Linked DNA regions of Cricetulus griseus. The protein of the gene in region 5 purifies or fractionates together with the protein of the main gene of each other region. This does not show direct contact. Links are inferred from orthologs where the notes say so. Each region holds a gene or a part of one and is shown on either strand. Other genes may lie near its edges.

What was found. Proteins that work in one complex are often made in the same cells at the same time.
Region 1: the proteins of Rmnd5a (region 5) and Mkln1 purify together in Homo sapiens (affinity purification with mass spectrometry; 4 studies listed by BioGRID and IntAct, counting the BioPlex papers as one, with this or other methods). This does not show direct contact. The link is inferred for Cricetulus griseus from reciprocal best matches to the Homo sapiens genes RMND5A and MKLN1.
Region 2: the proteins of Rmnd5a (region 5) and Ski purify together in Homo sapiens (affinity purification with mass spectrometry; 3 studies listed by BioGRID and IntAct, counting the BioPlex papers as one, with this or other methods). This does not show direct contact. The link is inferred for Cricetulus griseus from reciprocal best matches to the Homo sapiens genes RMND5A and SKI.
Region 3: the proteins of Rmnd5a (region 5) and Gid4 purify together in Homo sapiens (affinity purification with mass spectrometry; 4 studies listed by BioGRID and IntAct, counting the BioPlex papers as one, with this or other methods). This does not show direct contact. The link is inferred for Cricetulus griseus from reciprocal best matches to the Homo sapiens genes RMND5A and GID4.
Region 4: the proteins of Rmnd5a (region 5) and Ranbp10 purify together in Homo sapiens (affinity purification with mass spectrometry; 4 studies listed by BioGRID and IntAct, counting the BioPlex papers as one, with this or other methods). This does not show direct contact. The link is inferred for Cricetulus griseus from reciprocal best matches to the Homo sapiens genes RMND5A and RANBP10.

The regions. Positions count from the first base shown.
Region 1 is NW_023276806.1:196,392,383-196,395,882, forward strand, and holds part of Mkln1 (muskelin), read right to left. Parts: intron 3,166-3,500; coding exon 2,944-3,165; intron 1-2,943. UniProt on the Homo sapiens protein: Component of the CTLH E3 ubiquitin-protein ligase complex that selectively accepts ubiquitin from UBE2H and mediates ubiquitination and subsequent proteasomal degradation of the transcription factor HBP1.
Region 2 is NC_048595.1:1,152,582-1,155,789, forward strand, and holds part of Ski (ski oncogene), read left to right. Parts: intron 1-48; coding exon 49-311; intron 312-436; coding exon 437-729; intron 730-1,903; coding exon 1,904-2,134; intron 2,135-2,614; coding exon 2,615-2,803; 3' UTR 2,804-3,208. UniProt on the Homo sapiens protein: May play a role in terminal differentiation of skeletal muscle cells but not in the determination of cells to the myogenic lineage. Functions as a repressor of TGF-beta signaling.
Region 3 is NC_048600.1:74,560,194-74,563,693, reverse strand, and holds part of Gid4 (glucose-induced degradation protein 4 homolog), read right to left. Parts: intron 1,806-3,500; coding exon 1,675-1,805; intron 1-1,674.
Region 4 is NC_048596.1:182,048,947-182,052,446, forward strand, and holds part of Ranbp10 (ran-binding protein 10), read right to left. Parts: intron 3,287-3,500; coding exon 3,178-3,286; intron 3,080-3,177; coding exon 2,931-3,079; intron 2,749-2,930; coding exon 2,544-2,748; intron 1,781-2,543; coding exon 1,659-1,780; intron 1,195-1,658; coding exon 1,049-1,194; intron 749-1,048; coding exon 637-748; intron 278-636; coding exon 147-277; 3' UTR 1-146. UniProt on the Homo sapiens protein: May act as an adapter protein to couple membrane receptors to intracellular signaling pathways.
Region 5 is NC_048601.1:63,077,558-63,081,057, forward strand, and holds part of Rmnd5a (E3 ubiquitin-protein transferase RMND5A), read right to left. Parts: intron 2,587-3,500; coding exon 2,484-2,586; intron 484-2,483; coding exon 329-483; intron 1-328.

The DNA of each region.
Region 1 (3,500 bases), on a different chromosome or scaffold from region 5:
AACTTTACATCTCTATAGCAGCAGCTTCATGAGAGATCCCATACAACACTCCTTTGCTAGAATGAAGAGGAAGAGAGAAAGGCAGCTCTCTCCACACTACCAAAAGCATTGCTGAGGCATGGCACACTACCTACTAAAGCCAAATAGCAAAGTTATTGTCTTTTGTATGACTACAAGGGAGCATAAGTGAGCATGAGTGGGCAAGCAAGAAATGTGTTTGGATAAATGAAGACACAATGAAGTACAGCCACCCATAAGAAACGTAACTCCTTCTTATACCTAAAATAATAAACAGAGTTATCTAAAAGTACCTTGACTTAGTTTATAACCACATGCATGCTTTTATTAGAATGTTAAATTTAAAAACAGAAACAAAAATGAAAAAAATCTATATATAAAGCTACAACTTTATGTACACACAGAATTCTAACCACACTCAGAAGTATTATACTTATTTTTAATTCAGTTTTTTTTTAATAATGCATTCTTATGGCCTAAGTCTTAAATTAAAAATTCACCAGAAAGCAATTTTAATTTTGGAAACACTAGTGATTTTGTTGCTAGCTTTGACAACTGGAAAATTTTCACAGATGAAACAAGTAATACAACATGAAATAAGATTTTTAACCTTAAAAGATATACAAGTACAAAAATCAAAGTCACTAAGTAAAAGGGAAAAAAATAATTTGAATTGGTTTATCAGTGAGAACTCACGACTTGTCCTTTGTTTTATCAAAAGATAAATGTGTATATATGGATAAAGGGGAGGCTCCTACTGGTCAAAGATAGATTAAAAAAACAAAAACAAAAAAAAACCCGAAAAACTGACAGCACTGAATTTAAAATATCATGCATATAAAAATTCATGAGCTCATAATTACAATGTTTTTTTCTACCTCACTGGTTAACTTTGGAAACTGAATTCATTAACATGCAAATAAACAAATCATACATCCATTAATTCACTTAGATTTATTTATTTGAGACAAAGTCTTACTACATAGCTCTGACTGACTCGGAACTCACTATGTAGACCAGGGTGGCCTCAAAAACAAAGAGATTCCCACTGTCTCTGTTTATATTAAAGGCATGCACTACCACACCCAGTGGTTTAGTTCTTTTTCTTTTTTTAAGATAGGGTTTTTCTATGTGTTCCTGGCTGGCCTCGAACTTGCTGTGTGCAGCCCAGGTTGACCTCAAACTCATGGTCTGCCTGCCTTAGTCACCAAAGTGCTGGGATCACAGGTGTGCATCACCAGGCCTGGCCCAAGAATTAGATGGTTTCATTTTAGAGTAACCAAACAACTCATGATATAAAGATGTTTTGTTGTTCTTTTTAAAAAACAAAAAAACAAAAGTAGAATTACACTTAATAATGCAGAAGAAACAACATCAGAAAAATCACTATTTTGTGATAGCTAATGAAATCTAGACAATGAATACCCAATGAATATCAATAGGTAAAGATTATAGGAAATTTCATAATTGATCAACCAAACTAATAATTCCTAAACTCACTAACATTTATCAAAAACATAAACAACAACATTAAATGCCTCTTGATATCCTATGATCAGAATACTGGTGAAGTGTTGTTGTGTTTCTTCCTGGCCTCCCTGTGAAAGGACAGCAACTATAAATCAAGCCTTCAGGTAGAAATGACTAGTTTATAGAAAATACGACAGAGAAACACATTAAATAATGCAATGAAGATACAATCAGTCAAGTGAGAATGGGAAACATTGTAGATTACAATAATTCTGATTTTTAAAAACCAGAGTGAGTAGAATGTACACGGAGAAAAGAAGGACATTCTGCGGCAGTACCCAGGTAGGTGTATTTGGGATCCCAACCTGAACAAACCAGTTCTGGAAAGCTGTTATTCAGGCCATCAGAACAGCATAAGTGCAGACCAGGCATTCTATAATATTACAAACTGCTTTCATTGTGACGGATATGATAATGGTAATACCATTTTTTAAGAGTGCTATCATTGTAGGTGCAATTGTCCCTCAGTATCAGTACAGGTGACCCCCAAATCCCTTAGGATTTGCAAATAACATATACATATCCTCTTATGTACTTTAAATCATCTGTACATTATTTTTAATATCTAGTATAAACTGTAGGACACGAGAGCAGTTGTTTAGCAAATAAAGTTTTTTTAAAAGTCTATACATGTTCAGTAGAGATAAAAAAAATTTTAATAGTATTTTTAATCCATGATTGTTTAAATCTGTGGATGCATAGTCCACAGATATGAAGGACCTGCTAAATAAAGACATCCTAACTGAGGTCTTCCTGAAAAATATTCCCAACATAATAAAATGTAAAAAGCTCTAAAAGTGACAGGAATGTAATTAAAGTAGGAGAGATACACTAAAAACAGACAGATTGTTTACTGATCAAACTGAAAGACATATGTTCTCAGAAATTCACTATTATCTCCTTCTTTGCACTTCATATAAAGAATATTTTTAAAATATGCATGTTGAATAACATATGGTCTAATACTTTGTTCACACAAAGAAGGATTACCTGCTTCAAAAGGAGAACTCTTTTTGTTGTTTTTGTTAGTAAACTCTTGTTCTAATTCTATAAAACCAATCTGTACTTAATTGAGAGTAGCATCAGGAAAAATAATTCAAAATTATCCATCTAACTACTAAGAAATGTTCACTAATGGTTAAGTCCTAAAAAAGAGCTAATTATACGACAGCTAGGTAACCAGTAAAGTCAGTAATAAAAGCACCTACCTCTATCTTCAGGTAATAATCACTTAGGAGTTAGTTTCTAACTTGATGGAAATGACTAAATGGCAGTTCTATTTTCTCTTTCACTGCTGTATTAATCATTTATTTCTAGCGAAAGCTTTGCTTTTTTACTAATCTCTCCTATAAAGATACACATGACAAAATAACACAATGTACAGAATATTCTTACTGAGTGGAACAGCATGCAGTGTCCAATTCGAGACTGGATGTCCTCAGGGCCAGCATTACAGGAGTCTTCTCGAAGAAGCTTCCAGGTTTGACACTGGCAGTTGAATGCAAACAAGCCACTGAATTGTGGTTCACTGGCTCTGCTGTCATCTACACTGCCATTACATGTCAAAATTCTACCACCGAAGGTGTAGATCATATGTTTTTCTGAATCCATACACATCTACGAGAACAAGGCAACAGATTGAACAGTTTTAGTTTGTTCCTTCGGATGTGCCAAAATGGGATCAGTATGTATGGTTTCACATTCTCAAAGAAACCCTGAACTTTGCTCTTAATGATGCTAAGTACATCTCTTAATTATTATACACACATATTGTAATACTGTTCAGAAATTCAGGATAGCTTTCTAAACACCTTTTCAATTTTCATTTACTCCAATTAAAATGAATATACTGAGTTAAGGAACTTTGCTTTCTTGATGCCATGCTACAAGATTTAACCAGAGCCAGCAATGAGTCATGGCATATTGGGTCTTACTAACCCTGCATACCGATC
Region 2 (3,208 bases), on a different chromosome or scaffold from region 5:
GACTTGTGAGACAGATGTGCCCTGGCTAAGCATCTCTGCCTCCTACAGCTTTTACTCCTACAAGAGCTTTGAGACAGCTGTGGCCCCCAATGTGGCCCTAGCACCACCAACCCAGCAAAAGGTTGTGAACAGTCCACCATGCACCACCGTGGTCTCCCGGGCACCAGAACCTCTCACCACTTGTATCCAGCCACGGAAGCGGAAGCTGACCATGGAAACACCAGGAGCCCCAGATATGCTGACATCCGTGGCTGCCCCTGAGGAGGACAAGGATTCTGAGGCTGAGGTGGAAGTTGAAAGCAGAGAGGAATGTAAGTATGGATTGGACTCCGTTCCTTTGGGTATCAATACAGGGGATGGGTAGGGTGGGGCAGGTGTGACCAGGCCAGTGTACTCCACAGCACTAATGCTCTGGTTTCTCTGTCTCTGTCCTCAGTCACCTCCTCCTTGTCCTCGCTGTCCTCTCCGTCCTTTACCTCGTCCAGCTCTGCCAAGGACCTGAGCTCCCCAGGCATGCACGCTCAACCTGTGGCTGGCCCCGATGCTACAGTCCATGCTGATGCCCCAAGCGGGCTGGAGGCAGAGCTGGAGCATCTGCGGCAAGCCCTGGAGGGTGGCCTGGATACCAAGGAAGCCAAAGAGAAGTTCCTACATGAGGTGGTCAAAATGCGTGTGAAGCAAGAGGAGAAGCTGACAGCAGCCCTACAGGCTAAGCGCAGCCTGCACCAGGTAAGCCGGGCAGCAGGCAGGACCATGAAATACAGGAGACAGCCTCCCTCTTGGGCTGCCCAAGCCCTCTTCCCAGGTCCTCTGGAGGACCCAGCCCTCTGAGGCACTTTGATGTCCAGAGTCCTTCTGTGCTCACATAGTGGTCTCAGCTGCAGCTTCCCCTATGTGTGGGCCTCACTGAAAGAACTGGCCTGTTTTCTTGGCCATGGTAAAGGCCAGTGTTAATGGTGAGTGAGGAGTAGCTGAACTAGTGATGCCTCTCTCTCTGTGCCAGGGTCTGGTTTATTCTCTACTAGCAAGACTTGTGCTCTGCAAATAGAGTGCATGGATGACTTCTGAAGCTGTCTCTCCAAAGGGGACTTAGCAGCAGGCTGTGGGGAATAGATGCTTAGGAGGTGTGCTTGTACTTACACACTGCTTACTGGCTGTTTGTCTGGGCCCCACCTCACTGTTTCCTAGGCAGTAGCCATTCCTCTTATACCTTGTTTTCATGCTGTTTTGTTTTTCTGACATGCATAAGGGAGGGCCAGTTCTTGGGCAGCCTGGGAAGATTGAGGAACTCAGCTGTGTTGGTCTTCACCAGGGCTCAGCATTAAGGCTTTGCTGTAGGCTCAACCTCTGCTGAATTCACACCTCAGCCTGAGTCTGGCAGCTCTGGGTGCAGCCTCACATGTGTGGGCTTTAGCACAACACAACCTTGTCAATCCTCAGGGCTGCAGGATTTCAGATGTTCTCCTCTGAGTGAGTCTTAGTCATTCCCTCATCCTCTCTTGCCCCCATTCTGGGTGGAGGTGTTATTTCCCACATGGGGAAACCATGGGGGACGGGTGTCATGCTGCATTCTAACAAGTGGGGCAAGAGCAAAGGAAGCACCAAAAGGAAATGGCTCCATCTGGCTGGGGGGTCACCTCCGGGCCTCAGATGCACAGGTATCTGACGCTGTCTACCTGGTGGTTTCCTCCCCTACCCATGAGGCATGGCAGGTGCGTTTCTGAGGTGGAAGAGTGTGAGACGGTTCTGCTGCAACCTTGATATAAGCAACCAACAGCTAGTAAGCGTTCTGCCCTGTAGGGAAGGGAGATAGCAGTCAGGTCAATAGACTGGGGTGCAGGGTGGGCACAAAGGTGCTGGGTTGGCAATACCTTGAACCTGTCTGCTACATGTGTCCTCCCAGGAGCTAGAATTCTTGCGTGTGGCCAAGAAGGAGAAACTGCGGGAAGCCACAGAGGCCAAGCGCAGTTTGAGGAAAGAGATCGAGCGTCTCCGAGCTGAAAATGAAAAGAAAATGAAAGAGGCCAATGAGTCTCGGGTGCGCCTGAAGCGAGAGTTGGAGCAGGCACGGCAGGTCCGGGTGTGTGACAAGGGCTGTGAGGCCGGCCGTCTGCGTGCCAAGTACTCAGCCCAGGTACTAGGGTGGGTTGGTTGGTACACTGACATGCACAGTGAATAGCTACTCTCACAGACTCAACATCCGTGATGTAACCATTCAGGCTGGATCTGTGATCATGTGCCATGCCTGGAGACCCTGAGGTGTATCCAGCAGACGTGGGCTTGGGTGTTAGGGACTGTTTTCCATAGCCAGGGTTGGAAGTCCAGGTGGCCCCAGAACTGGGAAGCAAGTTCTAAGTTAGGATCAGGAGATGGGCCTTGGTAACTGCAGAGGGGCAGCTTCCAAAGCTTAGGACTCACACCCAGAGGGGCAGGGAAGGTCTTCTACATCTGTAATGCTGTTTGGTTCCCTCTTGGGTACTTCAGAAAGGAGGCTCTTCCAAGCCTGGGCATCTGGGCGTTTGGGGGCAGACATGGCACCAAGGGCTCAGTAGGAACTCAAGGGAGTGGTAAGTGCTAGTGTTAGGCACTACTGACCACTCAGCATCCCTTTCAGATTGAGGACCTGCAAGCGAAACTGCAGCATGCAGAGGCCGACCGAGAGCAGCTTCGAGCTGACCTGCTGAGGGAGCGTGAGGCCCGTGAGCACCTGGAGAAGGTGGTGAAGGAGCTTCAGGAGCAGCTGTGGCCTCGGCCACGGCCTGAGAACGTGGGTGGCGAGGGCAGTGCTGAGCTGGATCCCTAGCCTGGGCAGTGCCTGCCACTGCCACATGGACCTCCATGCGTGCGCAGAGGGCGGCGGGTATGTGGCTCTGCGGGCCCAGCCCATGCCCCTGCAGCCACACAGCACAACGTCTCTACTGTGCCTATTACCAAGCGAGTGTTTGTAACCACATACTTTTGGAATCCACTGCAAAATTTTCTACTGGCCAAGTTCAAGTGAGCAAGCCATGTCCCCCAGCTGCACCCAGAGTTGAGGCTGGCTCTGTGGCTTGTAGCTGGTCCTCTGCTTGCTAGAACATTCTAACATTTACACTTTTGTTATAAGCTATTTAAAACCAGTACGGAGACTTGATATTCAGAAAATCAACATGTTTTTTAATGACTGACTGTAAAAGGCCCCTACACGTGACGCCATCTGGACACCCAC
Region 3 (3,500 bases), on a different chromosome or scaffold from region 5:
CATAACGGATGGTTGTGAGCCACCATGTGGCTGCTGGGAACCGAACTCAGGACCTCTGGAAAAGCAGTCAGTGCTCTTAACCTCTGAGCCATCTCTCTAGCCCCATCCATTTTATTTTTTAACCTTTATTTTTTTGTTTGTTTGCTTGTTTTTTTGAGACAGGGTTTCTCTGTGTAACAGTACCGGGACTTACTTTGTAGACCAGGCTGGTCTTGAACTCACAGAAATCTGCTTGCCTCTGCCTTCTAAGTGCTGGGATTAAAGGTATGCACCATTACTGCCCCCCCCCTTTTTAAAATTCTATTTAACTTTTTATTTATGTGTGTGAGCCTGTGTGAATTTATGTGCACTACATATGTGAAGGTACTCGGAATAAAAGGGCATTAGATTCCTTGGAACTAGCATTATACAGGCAGTTGTAAGCTGCCATGTGAGTGCTAGGATCTGAATCTGGGTTCCCTGGAAGAACATGAAGTACTCCTAACTGCTGTGCCACCTCTTCATCCCAAGTGTTCCACTTTCAGAAAAGAAATAAGGTGCTTCCTGGTGTAGCTAGTCCTCACTGTATAGCAAGGAGGCACAAGAGTCCTTTAAAAGATGGCAAAAGCCATCACTTGCGGTGGCCTTCTCACCATAGCCTTGGAGGAACATAAGGCAGGGAGATGAACTTTCATGGCCCCTAGCTCAACAGACCAAGATCAAGTGCATGACAGGCAGTGCCAGCTGGTAACTTCGAAGGTCACACTGTCTATAAGAGATTACATTAGAGTTACTGCTAAATTCATGAGGAGTAAATATGAAATGAATAGGATTGAGGCAAGCATTCCTGAAAATGAAAGACTACCTAAAATTATATACTGGGTGTTGCTTAGTGGTAGACCACTTACCTAGTATGTACAAGGTACTAGGTTCTACCCACATAACACACATAAGTTAGTGTCTCGTGTGTGTGTGTGTGTGTGTGTGTGTGTGTGTGTGTGTATGTGTGTGTGCGCGCGCACACCTGTCTCTCTCTCTCTCACACACACATACACATTTAGAAATAAGACTAGAGAGATGGTTTAGTGGTTAAGAGTTCTTGTTGGCCTTGCAGAAAATCCAAGTTTGGTTCTCAGCATCCACACAGTGGCTCACAACCAATCATAACTCTAGTTCCTGAGGATTCAATGCCCTCTTCTGATCTCTACAGGCACCAGGTACACATGTGCTATACATATATACAAGCAGGAAAAACATTCATGCCTTAAATAAAAAGGCTTATAAATTTAACAGTATTTAGAAATTATATCTTTACATAATAGCCACTTTTTTTTTTCTTTTTTCTTTTTTTTTTTTCTGAGACAGGGTTTCTCTGTGGCTTTGGAGGCTGTCCTGGAACTAGCTCTTGTAGACCAGGCTGGTCTCAAACTTACAGAGATCCACCTGCCTCTGCCTCCTGAGTGCTGGGATCAAAGGCATGTGCCACCACTGCCTGACCATAATATCTACTTTTATTTCATTACTTTACTCTATAGGTAAGGAGGAGTCCCTGTTCTATGTGAGGTCATCTAAATGGCCTCAGTACAAACACAGAGTATGGAATTTGGACAGAGGTAGACTGAGAGAATCTCTTTCAGATGTGATGGCTGGAGTTGATGGCAACTTTTGCTGCAGCACCAGCCTTGAGATCCTTACCATTCTGAACTCCGATGATAGTAGTAGCCCTCTATGGAGGCTGCTGACTTCTGAAAGCAGATGTAATAGAAACCAGCAAAGGAAGCACCACTGATGTCTTTGATTGTGTGGTCCGGGACCAGGAACTGCTCCTACACATAGATATGAGATCAGTCAATACCTTCCCTTTCAGTAAGACACCAGAAGGTTCTAAAGATGGCTAGAAAAAAGGTCTCTGCCTGGTTTTGGGGTGGTGTTCATATATGTTACTACAGTATCCTACCTACCTTTCTGTGCACACAGGACCAGCAACTCAGAGGAGGGATCATTGCTGGAGATCTAACAGACCAAACAATATGACTTTCTTGTCTACTTACCTCTTGGAGACCGCTTGACAGAATCACCTAGGAATCGATTCAGTCTGGTTTTCAGGAACTGTCACTGGGTTCTGATTACCTCTGAGTCACATCTATTGCAGCCTGTGGTCATTCTGAGGTGAGAGTCCCTGTGACATCTCACTAAAGCTCTACCCTGGTCAAAGTCATAAGAACACACTACAGAGACAGGTGACCTGCCATTTGTGAAAGACTCCTGTTCTCCACAAGATGGGGTCAGAAGCCCCAGGGCTTCAGGGAAACCAAAATACAATGTGAGTTACTCTAAAAGAAATTGTTTGGAGACAACTCCACTGCTTTAACTGTTTTCATTTACTTTCCAATGCTGGGATGAAACCCAGGACTTTGCTAGACAAATGCTCTACCATAAACTATACTCCCAACCCTTCTCCTTCTCCAACTTTTTTCTTTTTAAATGGATTCTCTTTTCTGCCTCATTCAAACTTCAAAATACCATTTTTTATCTATCTATCTATCTATCTATCTATCTATCTATCTATCTATCTATTTATTTTTTAGGGATTTTATTTATTTATTATGTATGCAGTCTTCTGCCTGCCATGCCAGCAGAGGGCACAAGATCTCATTCAAGGTGGTTGTAAGCCACCATGTGGTTGCCTGGAATTGAACTCAGGACCTCTGGAAGAGCAGTCAGTGCTCTTAACCACTGAGCCATCTTTCCAGCCCCCATTTTCATTATTTATTTATTTATTTATTTATTTTGGTTTTTCAAGACAGGGTTTCTCTGTGTAGCTTTGCAGCCTATCCTGGCACTCACTCTGGAGACCAGGCTGGCCTCAAACTCACAGAGATCTGCCTGCCTCTGCCTCCTGAATGCTGGGATTAAAGGCGTTCACCACCAACGCCCGGCTTCAAAATACCATTTTAAAGTTTAATTTAGGTCTAAGATCTAGCTCAGTGGTAAAACACTTGCCTAATATGTGCAAAGCCTGAGTTACAGCCTCAGCACTGGAATAAAATTAATCTAAACATCAGTACAAGTTCTTTAAAGGATTAGATGGCATATTTCCCACTGAACGGCAGGCTGGGGAGGGAGCCTCAGTATGTGCTAGTGTGGGCTAGAGAGGGAAGCTCAGTATGTACTGGATAGCAGAGTGGGATGGAGATGGAGGCTCAGTATATACTGGATGGCAGATGGGGCTAGAGAGGGAAGCTCACTGTGTGCTCTCCTGCAACTGTCAAGTGAAGAAATGCTATTCTACTTCCCAAATGATCAGTCACACAAAGCACAGACAGCAAGCGACCACTTTAGTCTTCATGAAACTGTATCATATTCAAGCAGCTTCCTTTCTTCTTTTGGTTTTTCGAGACAGGGTTTCTCTGTATTGCTTTGGAGGCTGTCCAGGAACTCGTTCTATAGACCAGGCTGGCCTCGAACTCACAGAGATCCACCTACCTCTGCCTCCCAAGTGCTGGGATTAAAGGTGTGCG
Region 4 (3,500 bases), on a different chromosome or scaffold from region 5:
GAGGGAAGAAGGGAGGACCGGCCAGGTAGGAGGAGTGGGATTCTGCCCATGGCTTCTAGGTCTCTGTACCAGGTGCCTATGGAGGGCAGGGTTGTTCCAGCCCTAGGGCTGAAGGATGGCTAGACAGAGCCAGCCAGGAAGGTCAGCTAGTGCAAGTAGTCATCGACTCTGGCAAAAGAGCAAGATCCCAGGCCTGCTCGGGCCATAAGTCGTAGACATTCAGAAGCCTGGCCCAGGGCGAGCATCAGAGGAGGCTGCTTTGGCAGGTTCTGAGACTCTGTGGAGAAGATTACAAGGTATGGTCAATGCCTAGCCAAGGAATTGGGCACAGGTCAAAGTTCCCTAGAGGTTAGAGGTATGGACAGAACTCTTAGAACAGTATTATTGTCTGAGTGTCCTAGACATCAGGCCATGGCCCTGCATTCATGATAGGAACCCGAGGACCTTGGCCTTCTCTAGAGCAAGCTGGTCTGGCCCATGGCCATGAAGTAGCAGCCAACTCAGGTAGGCAGAGGGTGTTAGGGTCAGGTTCCCTGTGAATTGGCCTATGCTAATCTTGATGCTCTTCCTAGGAAGACGGAAGGTGGCCACCCACACACTCATGGGTTAACTTTTGCTTTCATTAGATGTACTTACCTAAAATGGCGCTGTTGAGAGCAGCACACACGGGCTCCCTCTGGATGGGATCAAGCTGATGGCCAACTGGGCAGCTCCAGGGGTCTGAGTATGCTAGTAAGCTAAAGGCATCCTAAGGGACAGAGCACTCGTGAGAGGAATGTAGCATACTATACATAGTCCCATAGCTCCAGAAAAGGACAGAATACTGCATGGGGCCCAGTGAGAGCTCATTATATCTGGACTATAGAGTCAGGCAAAGCTATACCCTCTTTAGGTCTTAGAATGGGTGAAGAACACCCTAAACACCCCACATCCTACTGCAGACATGACTAGAGCCCATTCTGGCCTATTACTACAGCCCCTAGATGTTCCCAGAGCCCCAGCATCAAATGGGGAACTGCTTTGTATGAGGACCTGGCTTATCCTATACCTGCAGCATCTCCGTGTGGGCCAAATTCTTGCCGTACTCTCGGCCCAGTTGCTCACTCAATGCCTGCAACTCTCGGCCAAACAGGATGATCCTTTCTGTGGCAGCCTGGTTGCCCCCGCAGAGCTGCCGCCGTGGATGCCCATCGTCTGCACCCAGAGGCCAGCAGAAAACACATTAGAGGGCGAAGAGGGAAGAACAGGAAGGACACCATGAAGCTACAGCTTCTGCCAAAGGCAGGCAAGGGCTAGGAGACCAAGCAGGTGGAGCAGCTAAGTCCAGCTGGCATATAGACTAGAAGTGGTACAAGACTTGGCAACTTCCCTCATCCCACCCTGCACAAATGCATGTTACTAATGAGGTCCACATTCTTGTACTCTCTTTAGCCTTGAAGGGGTCTTGGCAGCGAGCATGGACCTTCTTACACACTGGAAGCCACCTCAATGATGCATCCAGGAATGACTAAGAAAGTGGTGGATTCAGTCCAGCTGCAGTTTCTCAAGCTGCCAGAGCCTGCCATCTTAGCCCCTCTTAGGAGGAAATGGGCATTAGGACTGTATGTTGCCCTCTCAAGGAACATAGGGGCTGGGTCATACTAAGGAACAACACTTACCCATGCTGGACTCATCTGTCTGCAGGTCTTCATGCTTGTAGGCACCATTGACTATGCGCGTGGATATGCTCTCCAACACACCGTTAGGATAATGTTCTGCCTCCATCTCCATTTCACTGTCACTGTAGAGAAGAGTTGAGATAAGAGTTGGGCCTCTATCCAGGTTTTGTTTACCATCACTTCATGTAAACTGAAGGAGTTTACCTGAGGGACTATAATGGCTCCTATGATGGCATCAAACTGAAGGACTGTCAGGAACACAAAAGGATAGCCCAAGCTTTCTAGGCTCCAAAACTTAGCGCCTACTACAGTTATCTCCAGGTGCCTGTTACATGATTCCTATTCTTGTCCCAAAGCTGCCCCTGTGACTCTTCTCAGTAGCTCTCTGAGTTGACACACCTCTTTAATATATATCCCACTTGTCCCTACCAACTCAACTGATTGGGGCCTTGTCAGGACCCAAACCAAGGTTAGCTTTTAGGCATGCCTAGAACCTGCTAAGAGCCATCTGGAGCTTCTGCCTACAGCCCAGATCACCTGGCTGCCCATGAGCCTGATTTCATAAAAACTGCTTAACTGTAGACCCTTGAGGTTCTAATAGGCCTAGCCTCCTTGGAGAAGGAGTCCCTGCGTTCTCAAGTCTGGCAGGGTCAGCATCTCCAGACAAAACCAGAGCCAAGGAAATTGACAGCTATATCTTGAATGGGGACAGAACCCAGAACCAGTGTTTGGCTTGACCTTTCAATGGATTGAAATCCAGGCAAGACCTACAAAAGAGGTGAGGGTAAAGGGCAGAAGATAGCATTTAAAAGAAGACACTACCCAGTGGCAGGTCCAGCGGGAAGAGAACAGAAGCAGAGGGAGAGAGAGGAGCAAGACAGGCACCTGGTCTCCTGGTTACTGGCACTGCTGTGGGGCTGGGACTTGGTGGAGTCTGTTGAGTTGGACTCGGAGTAATTGATGGAGGACGGGGAAGAGGAGGACGAGGAGGACGAGGATGAGGAGGAGGAGCTGGGTGCGGGGTATTTACTGTGGTTCTGTTTGTTCTTGGTAGATGCAATGCCATTGCTGCAGCTGGGACTGTCTGCTCCTAGAAGCCAGGTGGGTCAGAGAAGGGTGGTCAGAAGTGGGGCCCCAGGAATTGCCACAGTAGTCCTTTCCCTTCTACCCAGTCCAGCAGCCAGTCCTAAGCCCACCACAATGAAAGGTAGGTAGGTGGCCATTCTTCTCCACACCAGCTCTTCCCAGAGACTCTGGAGAATGGCCACCCACCTGTGTTGTGCATGTGGGAACTACTAGGGCCATGTCGGGGGCTGAGGCTGGGGGAGCCAGGGTAGCTGTCCTGGGACTTGGGGCTTCGGGAGCTCAAACTTCGGACTTCACTGTCGGTGCCATTCACCATCTCCACAAACTGTCGACACCTGTGAAGGGAGCAGAGCATTGATGCTCTAGGCTGGCCCAGGGTGTGGGCTCCTGTTGCAAGCTGAGGGCCAGGCTCTGGTACCATAACCTGACTTACTTGAGCATGAAGAGCAGGTTGGGGTTGTGCTCCAGCAGCCCAGGGTAGAAGCGCTGGGTCGTTTCAATGGCTTCACCCACCCGGCCTTCAAGCACCAGCTTCTGGATTTCTGTAGAGAAGAGCATGGCTGTGAGTAAGGGCTGAGATCCCCTCCATATCCCTGGCCAGAAGTCAGGTGGGCTGGCTCTTGGCATGCTGCTAGCTGGAGGAGCTCACAGAAAAGACTGAGGGAACCCGGTTGCCCAGGACCACAGCAGAGGCTGGTTTTGGTCAGCTGTCATGGAGTCATCAAGAATATGAGGGGAGAACAAAAAAAGCTCACA
Region 5 (3,500 bases):
CCAAATCCTTGAGCAGATTAAACTAACAAAAGAGATTAGATGTTATCCACTTTTGATAAATAGTTAAGAAACTACTTTCTAAATCTAATTATGGGCTGAGCATGGTGCTGTACACCTTTAATGCCAACACTTGGGAAGCAGGGACAGACACAAGTCTGAGTTTGATGCTGGCCTGGTCTACAGATCAGCCAGGGCTACACAGAGAAACCTTGTCTCAAAGAATCAAATAAGTAAATAACTACATAACTCTAGCTTCATTCATGTATCCTTATTACATCTTATCTTTACACAAGAAGGTTTATTTAATGTTAAGAAATCAGACACTTACTTGCTACCATTAAACATTTTATTCAGGGCATCTCTTGATATAATATGACCACAAACCAATTTCATGGGTGGATTGTTATCTGTTGTTTGCTGACGAAGAATGGGGCAGGCAAATATGGAGTGATACCAGCACTTCTTACCAAGGTCCACTTCAATCTGTTCAGAAAAGAAAAATGTAGAAAGGCTCGTGAAACCCTGAAAACGCTCCAGACACCTGTGCACGGTGCAGCAAGAACATGTTTGGAGTGACTCTAGGGGAACTGTCTTAAAGAAAGGGAAGTCTTAAGATTCAAAGTTGAGTTAAACTGGTCTGCAAAACTACACTACTACTTTGTAAACCAGATTTTGGGGTCTGAAGGAATCAGATACCATGCTTCAGAAACCAATACTTTTTTGTTGGTGGTATCAGGCAGCAAACTCACAGCCTAGACCACAAGTGACCACCACTAAGCCACATCCCCAGCCTAAACACCTTGAAAATTTATTAGAACATATATATCAAAGGCAAAACCACCAGATATCCTGACTGCCCTGTAGGCAGCACTCGGTTAGGTGATAAACTCAGTGAAACAACTCCTCCAAGCACAGCCTAAATATAGTTATCTTCTGTATGAACTTTAGGTCTGAGTTTCCTATGTCATTTGTGTGAAGTGGTCCAGAGAAAACCTGAAACAGGGAGGTAAGCCAAGTTTTGTGCCCCCCCCCTTTCTCTTTTCTTATTTTGCAGTGGTGGGAACCCAATGTAGGGCTTTGCATGTGGCTAGGCAGCTTGAAGCCAGCACCCCAATCCTATCCCTTATGCACATGCTTTTTTTTTTTTTTTTTTTGCTTATTGAGATAGGATCTCATAAGTTGTCTAGGCAGGCCTTGAACTTGTGATGCCCTTGCCTTAGCCTTCCAAGTGCCTGGAATTACAAGCTTGTACCACCAGTATCTGCTTGAGCCAAATCTCAACAGGATCTTTTGTGATTTGTACACTAAAGCTCATGGCATGCTATCACCATTATATTTTTGCCACAAACATATCTAATTATATAAAAGCTTGAAGTCATATAGCAGAGCAGCTGCTTCACCCCAGAACCTCAACACACACATTGTTTCCCTTCCTTCTCAATCTGCAACAGCTATAGTTCTACAAGAACTTCACTGCCAGGTGTGGTGGCACCTTTAATCCCAGCAGAGAAAGGAAATCTGAGCTTGAGGCCAAGCCTGATCTATTCATGGAGTTCCATGCCAGCCAGGGATACACAGTGAAACACTGATTCAAAAAATAAACAAAAATAAAAGGTTCTTTAAGGAAAATTGACAAAGCGTAGGAGATGTATTCACAGGGATCTGAGTCCAAACTACACTACCACAAAAATGGTGGAACAGACCTACAAACCCAGAGGAAACTAAATGAGACACATAGTAAGAGCATCTTTAAAAACAAAAACAGGAGGACAAAAGCCAAAGCACATCAAAGTAATCCTGAGGAAGGATTACCAGCCACTACCTCCTGTTGCTTTCCTAGCCCCCAATACACACTGTCAGTTGGATCCTACTGATTGCTCTACTTCAGTGTGCAAATTTCAAAGATGCTCACAGACAGTAAATAAAATTGCCCAAGCTGGGCACCTGCTTACGGAACTCACTATGTAGGCCAGGCTGGTCTCAAACTCAAAGATCTGCCTACTTTTGCTTCCTGAGTGCTGGAATTAGTGTGTGCCATCACTCCCTCAGGTCTATTTTAATTAGTTAACTGATTTGTTTCCTTTTTAGAGTGGTGTTGGACCCAAAACTATACTCCCAACCTTATTTTTTACTCATGTTATGTGCATTAAAACCAAACCCGTTAAATGGGTACAATAGTGTTTTCTGATTAAATGGCATGATGAGCATTTTAACTCTTAAAACATCCATTTTCTTTCTTCTTCCTTCCTTCCCTCCTCCTCCTCCTCCTCCTCTTTTTTTTTTTTTGTTTTACAGGACAGGGTTTCCCTGTGTAGCTTTGGAACCTGTCCTGGAACTCGCTCTGTAGACCAGGTTGGACTTGAACTCACAGAGATTCATCCGCCTCTGCCTCCCAAGCACTGGGATCAAAGGCGTGCACCACCACTGCCCAGCAAAACACCCAATTTCTAAGGTGGGAAGGGAAAACAAACAATAGAACTCACAGGTAATTCGTCTTTCTGGTTCCAGACTCCAGTACACTGCCTCTGTTCAATAACAGCTTTGATGTTGATTAGTGCTGGCAGTGCCACACAACCTGCCGAGAAACTGAGGACAAAAGAGAAGCATCAGGGCCAACTCCAAGGGTGCCAACCCCAAAGCAAAGAGCCAGGCAGCTGTTTCCTCTGAAAGTAAAATGAACTGATTTTCTCCCCCAATCCTTCTGCTCCCAGCCCTCAGCTATATTTCCTGTAGTTACTAAACCCTTTACAAACAAAACATAAAACCCTAATGCTACCACATAAGCTTAGCCAGTATGGCAGAAATGGGGAAAAAAAAAAGAAAGAAAGAAAAAGAAAAAAAGAACAATCGTTAAAAAGACCATTTTCTGATTGGATGGTTTAATTTTCATTTAATTCCTCAGCAATTAAAAAAAATAGTAGCTGGTTCTGCCCTATCAGAAGAGGGTCAGCACTGACATTGGTGCCGAAAGGGAGGAGCCACCATGAGAAGCATGAACGCCCCCACCCCCCAGTCACCTCCTTCAGAAAGCAGGGCACTAAAGTGCTGACTGATGCCTGCCTCCAAGCACAGCGGACTGTCCTTCTTCACATTTAAAGGGAAAGAGTATTTCTGAGTCTCTTCTCTATGAGTATGACTAGGTAAGGTTATATGAATTACACCTTCCAAAGTTTCCCTCCAGTTTACAATATAGAAAAATCTACAATCCCATCACCAAACTCATCAGAAAAGACTTTACAAGCTCATACCCAAAATTTCAACTTTAGCCTAAATTTTTAACCTTTATCATTATGTCAAAAGAAACACTTATTTGGCATCACTTGTTTCCTTAGCTTCCGTCAACCACTTGGAAAAATAACTGTCAAATCCAAAATGTGAGTAACTGTGGTTTTGGTTCTGTGGATTACATAACCTAATGTTAAAAATTAAAACGTACTAGCGGGACATTGGTGGCTCACGCCTTTAATCCCAGTACTCGGGAGGCAGAGGCAGGTGGATCA